Linked DNA regions of Mus musculus: region 1 is reported to be linked to region 2. The links are microRNA targets in miRTarBase. Many come from high-throughput screens and were not tested one by one. Region 2 holds a microRNA gene; the other region holds the end of a gene's coding sequence.

The links. Region 2 holds the annotated microRNA mmu-miR-409-3p (GAAUGUUGCUCGGUGAACCCCU, at 1,801-1,822, opposite strand). A microRNA usually pairs through its seed, bases 2 to 8, with sites in the 3' UTR of a target mRNA and lowers its output. Matches are read on the target gene's strand: a 7mer-m8 pairs with bases 2 to 8, a 7mer-A1 pairs with bases 2 to 7 and ends in A, and an 8mer does both.
Region 1: the mRNA of Fbxo41 is a reported target of mmu-miR-409-3p. Seed matches in the 3' UTR shown: 7mer-A1 at 2,665-2,671.

The regions. Positions count from the first base shown.
Region 1 is chr6:85,470,193-85,473,192 of GRCm38, reverse strand. It overlaps Fbxo41 (F-box protein 41), which reads left to right. Exons shown (of 13, transcript NM_001289675.1): 13 at 105-3,000. The coding sequence ends at 167. Among named protein-coding and RNA genes, the nearest start is that of Cct7, 20 kb to the right of the region's middle.
Region 2 is chr12:109,741,890-109,745,025 of GRCm38, reverse strand. Mir409 (microRNA 409) reads right to left here and starts at 1,868; the gene lies at 1,790-1,868. Mirg (miRNA containing gene) reads right to left here. Exons shown (of 8, transcript NR_028265.1): 4 at 2,736-2,964; 5 at 1,608-1,669; 6 at 1,179-1,360. Mir541 (microRNA 541) reads right to left here and starts at 2,617; the gene lies at 2,528-2,617. Mir412 (microRNA 412) reads right to left here and starts at 1,737; the gene lies at 1,658-1,737. It also overlaps Mir369 and Mir410.

The DNA of each region.
Region 1 (3,000 bases), not on the chromosome of region 2:
TGCCTTTTTAAGGCCACACAAGACCCCTTGGCTGGGGCTGTTGAAGGTGGCAGCAGTTTACCTGCCCAACCTAATGAGAGCTAACTTAGGGCCTTTGTCTGCAGGCCCTGCGTCGGAGGCCTGGCTTCTCGAAGATTCTGCACATCAAGGTAGAAGGTGGTTGCTAACCCGGGTGAGGGGCGGCAGGGCACCTGCCAGCCCCACACCAAGTGCTCTTTGGACCTCTGGAGAGGCCCTGGCTTGGACTAGACCTTTGGAGGCCTAGTGTTACCCCAGGTTCCAGACAGTGGTTGAATATCCTGTCCAGTTGGGACAGCAGTGACAGGTGACTCAGAGCACTGCCTCCCCGGGACAGGGGACTTGGAAAGAAGCTGCCCTGAGACACCTCTCCCCTCACATCCCCAGCTGGAATGGCCTGCTGGTACAGCCAGCAAGGAGCTGACACACCTGCTGCTGGTTGTCACTGCGCAGAGGATCTGCAGTAGCCACCCAGGGCCTCCTCAGCTGCTCAGGCAGGCCATCTCCTGGTCAGGAGCCAGATGGGGCTTAAAGCAGCTCAGACGTGGCAAGGAGGACTCTTCTCCCCTTTTCGTGACCGAGCCCTCTGTAAGGCCTTTCTTCCAGGTCCACATTCTCCAGTGATAATCTAGGCGAGCCTAGGAATCCAGGGACAAGGTTAGCTGAAAGTTGAGGCAGGGCCATAAGGGTGAATTTCAAAAGCTAAAATAAAATGTCTATAGAGTACACCAGGCAGGATGAGGCCTACACCTCCCCAGCAGGTAAAGTACTGGTCAGTTGGAGGAGGCTACTTCTCGCTACCACAATATAGAGCTAAGCTCAAAGCAGTCTCTATACAACTCCTTGCTTCGGGGATCACAGAGAGCAAGGGACCCAGCAAAGCCCTACAGTGAGAAGGGACCTCTTAACCCAGGCATTTCGGCAAGATCCCCAAAGGGAGGGGAGACCCCGGGCTACCTGCTGTGCTGGAGTTTGGGGGAGGGGGAGCTTGCTTGACCTAACTAGTGGCTTGAGAAGCCTTTGGCAAGGAGCCAGATCCTGGTGCTGAGGCGGAGGAATAATTTCCACAGCCTGTGTCTCTACAGTCCTGGGCTGAAACTATAGTAGGAGAATCCTTGTGATAGGGTGTCGCCGGCCCTTGCATCGTACCCAAGAAGTCTGGTCACCAAAGCCCCACTGGCTGAGCACACCTAACCGAATTCCTCTGCTCAGAACGTGGAGTGGCCGAGGCCATGAGTCTTGGCAGCCCTCATTTGGGCAGATCTTTCAAACGCCTGGTTTGTCGTCCACATCTTAGGGTTTTCTTTGCTCCTTTGTAAGGTGGGATCCTCTTGCCAGTTTTCTCCAGCTGTGCCACACCCTGGACTGGGTGCAAACCCATCTGTATGTTGCTGCCACACAAGTCCCTTCCATTGCTGCACAGCCTCCAGCTCGATGCTCCCCGATCCTATAGCCCTGTCCCAGTTTATCATCATCGCTGAGTTGCGTGGCTTGCTCTGTACCTGCTCTTTACACACTGAAATGCCAAGGCTGTCAGTGCTGGATACTCCATGCCTAGTCCTGCATGAAACCTTGGCTGTGTGGTATCTATGCCCCTACCTCTCACAGCTGCCTCCCGTTACTCCCACCTCCCCAGCCTTGTCCCCAAGGAGTCACAGGCAACAGCACAACTTTCCTCTCCTTCTGTGACCCAGAAGGGAGGTGGAGGTGCACTTGGGCCCCAGCTGCCTTTAGTAGGTCAGTTGTTTTGCCAGCTGCATCCATGTAGCTCCTGCTCCCTGTGACTCTTAAGACCAGAGGTGCTGCCCTTCCTGTCTCTTGGATAAAGCACAAAGTAATGTAGCTGGCCAAGCCTGCCAGCAGGGGCTTCTGTTTCACAATCCTAGGATTTGGACATCTCCCTGGGCAGGGGAGGCACTAGAATGCCTGGGTGCACAGGGTTGCACAGCCATCAGGGCAGGAGGCAGGACCAAGATGCTGGTTCCAGGCATTCTGACCCACGGACAGGGAAACCTACCCCTAAGAAGTCTCACCTGTGTTCTTGCTCTGAGTAAAGGTGAGTAAAGTGAAAATTGCAGACCTAAGCCTTTACCAACCTAAGTGACAGGTCACTGTGTCCTGGCTGAGTCTTGGGCATCTTAGTCTTCAGGCATGCGGAGAGCCAGCAGCTCTGTCTCCAAGTTGTGGTTTCTTTGCTTTCTCCAAAGGGGGCCATCCCTGCTTCTGGGTGCTGTGCTCATTTCTATCTTGAGCAGTCACAGAGCCAATGGGGATAGGGTGGGTGCCTGGCTTCCTTAGAAGCACCTCAGCCTTTCTTCAGCCACTCAAAGGGAAGAGGGAAGCCCTCTGCGTCTCATACTTAAGTAAGGCACAGAAAACTCGCGTGGGCATGCCCTGCTCCAGAAGCACTGGGTCAATGGAGAAGAAGGCTCACAGGTGGCAGCCACTTGCCATCTCTTCCACTCCCATCCCCTGCCAAACAGCACGTGTAAATTGGGGCATGGTTTGGCTTGAGTACTTCATGCTTATGCAGGCTGCTTTTCCCCACAGTTATGGCAAAAAATGTATGCACCTTGCCCAGAACACCAGCTTTCCACCCATCGAGAGAGTACCCTAAAATTAGGCTTTTCTTTTAAAAAAAAAAAAAACATTAACAGAGGCTAAATCGGCCTCAGGAATTGCATCAGAAACTTAACAGGCCTCTTTCCCAAGGCCTGCTGCTCTGTCACCAGCCCTGATCTTGAATGCAGAACACAGGCAATAAGCTGTCAACCCCAGTCTCTGTAAGGCACGATGTTGAAGGAAAACTTCCCAGAATTGACAGCTGGTGCCAAAGACATAGTTCCTGGTGAACTTGGAGAGGTGAGACTTCAGTGCCCTCTGGAGTTGTTAAGCACTGGTGGGGCCTACCCTAGCCACCAGCTTGATGACTTGGCAGTCTCGCTGCCCTTGGTGGCCCTGCTTTCTCATCCAGCCTTGGCT
Region 2 (3,136 bases):
AGACTCTAGGTCAAGCCTCTACAGTAAGCTCACAGGAGTCTGACAGAGCCAGAGTGTTAAGTTGGAGGAAACATGAAGAAGTGCAGGCTACATTGGACACGCAGACTTTGTGTGCCCCGGTACAGGGGAACGCCAGGGCCAAAGGGGGGGAGTGGGTGGGTAGGGGAGTGGGGGTGGGTGGGTAAGGGGGACTTTTGGTATAGCATTGGAAATGTAAATGAGCTAAATACCTAATAAAAAAAAAATGAAAAAAAAAAAAAAAATAAAAAAAAAAAAAAAAAAAAAGAAGTGCAGGCTAATCCCTACTGGGCCCCCTGTGCTCGTGAAGCAGGGACAGAGCTTGGGTATCACTGCCTTGTAGACTCAGGAGGACATTCTGTGCTATTTCCAACAGGGTGGCACTGAGGACAAGACAGGCCAAGGGATGGTCTCACATACAGACTAGAGAGTCAACCAACACAAAGGCTTCAGTTCTTGGCATCAATGCCTCAAAGTAGAAATGGTCTAGGGTAGGACATGGTGCAGAGAAGTAGGCTGTGGGATAGTCATCAGATAGAAAACAAACGTCTCAGAGACAAGCTAGCTCAGGTACCACCAGCACGGACTCTACTTAGGATGCTTCTTCCTCTAAGATGCCCTTCTGGACTTCCCAACCCCCACCTCAGGAGATGTGAGGCTCTGGGTCAGGATGAGTCAGCTACATGCCTGACCATCAGTGGTGTCCAGTGGGTCAGCAAAGTGTGTCCCTCCCCTGACACCCATGCTCACACAGTAAGAGCCAATGATAAAGAGAGGTGACCATGCACTGTACCAGCATTAAGAATGGAAACCCGTCACGGGCAATCTCACCTCAGATACTAGGAACTGCACGTGTAACCAACTGGCCTGGCTCTTCCCTAAGTATCATGCTAGCCCCTCCAAGCCCTCATGGTATTGAGAAGCACCCAGGGTACAGGGCATTTGAGCATGCAGCCCTCGGTGGAAGCCTTAGACAGGGACAAACACCCATTGTTGTGGCGGGAAAGAGGCATGGAAAGTGGACAGCCATCCATTGCACATCTGGCCAATGCTTCGTGGCCCAGCCTACAAGGTTGGTGCGATCCCAGGAGGCTCCTCAGAGCTGAGGTTCAGTGAAGAGGGGGTGACAAGCGTCATACAGAGTCCATGCATTTACCTACCGGGCAGTGGTGTGACACCTGGTATGTACTGCCGAGTGACCGGAGTGGCAGGTGGTATTGAAAACAGGCCATCTGTGTTATATTCGTCATTAATAAAGCGAACTCATCACAGACAACCTCTCCTCAAGTACCCAGTGTTGACCGCAGCAACCCTGGAGCTGGAATCACCACCTGAAGCTGTCCTGGGGGGAAGGGGGGGATTGCATATAAATGGTGAGTAGGGTTGACACAGGCAGCACACAGCCTGTTCCACCCAGCCCAGTTCCCCGCGGAGGCAGCAACCTAGAAGCACCATGCTGTCCCCACCCCCACAGGGGCTGCAACTCCAAGAGCTTCTCCAAGCTGAGCGTTGATACTGAGAAAAGATCAACCATGTATTATTCGAAGTCAGCCAAGCGAATATAACACGGTCGATCTCCCTTCAAGTACCAGCAGAGGTGTTGAGCTGAGGCTGTGACATCCTGGGCGCAGGCTGCAGCGGGCACCGACGGCTAGTGGACCAGGTGAAGTACATTAGAAACAATTACTTTCCAGCTGGTCGACCATCCGTCCCATACCCCAGAGCGAGATGAGTCCATGGTCTTCCCTGAGGTGGCCTCCCTGGAGGGATTTGATACCGAAAAGGGGTTCACCGAGCAACATTCGTCCTCCAGATGCAAAGTTGCTCGGGTAACCTCTCTCCGAGTACCACGGAGAGGCTCGGATGCTCAGAACGAGGCCGATGGCTGAGTTTCCAGAAGAACCATCCTGGAGCCCCTCAGAGATTATAACTCCCCATTCAGTGAGGAGCCACCCTCCACCACGTGAAAGCAATTATTCCATCACCTCCCCAGTGCAATCTACCACCCTTTCACCTTCCAAGAATATCTAAAGCCTTCCCAGACAACCTTGAGACCCAGGTAGCGAGGAGCTGACTCGGGGCAGAAGTGGGTGCAGAACTCTGCTTACTCTATCTCTCCTTTGTAAGCTGGAGATAGGGAGATGCTGAGACCCTGCGCATATACCACACCACCCTCCCAGAGACGATGCCTTCCAGAAGCGAGGAGGCAATGACTGCATCATCCAGAGATGCTCCTCCTTGGGCCCACCCAACCACTGCAGCCCCACGACCCTGGCATCCCCGCCCTGTCACCTGCCCCCTCCCCCCACGGTGATGTCATAGCAAGAACTGCTTGACCATCCAGTCCTATAAACCAAGCAAGTAATGCTTCAAAGATAAACATGGAGGGAGGAGAGAAAGAACAGCGGAAGGAGATCCCGCAGGGTCCCCTTGTGCCAGTGTGTATGGCTGCCCCGCACGAGCACGCCAGGGAGGGCTCTCCAGTAAGGGTCAGGATCCATTGACTTAGGCCATAAGCAGAGTATGGATTCTGTGTTCGCCACTCATTTTAAAACTCTTGGAGTGTGACCAACATCAGAATCCCTTCTCTGATTTTGGCAAGAGTTCACACAGGCTTCTAGCCTTGCTGCAGGGCAGCAAGAGACTGGTCACATGCAGTGTGTCATACGGGGAAAAGACGCCACGGGCAGCTTCATGTAGGTGTTCTGGAAACTGACCTGTGGGACAGAGGCTCTTTCCCCAGCTGGCATCACCTCCTGGAAATGCTCCTAAGAGGCACACAATGGCGATGATGGTGGCTAACGGTAGCTACAAGATCCAGTCAACAGTATGGGGAGGGAAGCTTGTCCAGGTTCTTCCTCCAAGCACTTGTCCTGGAGAGAGCTCCAGCCACTGACCAGTTCCAAGACAATGATGTAGCCTCTGGAGTCCTTTGAGGTAAAGATCCTTTTGGAAAGAGAGCCACCATGAAACCTGGTGCTCATCACACCCCAGATAGTATATTAGACCCTGGATACATCCACTCTAAAATGACCTCCCGTACGGGCCTAGCCCTTCAGCACCAACAATGGGTACGTCTTTAAGCCTAGCCCTGGGAGCTGGCAACATGGAAACCCAA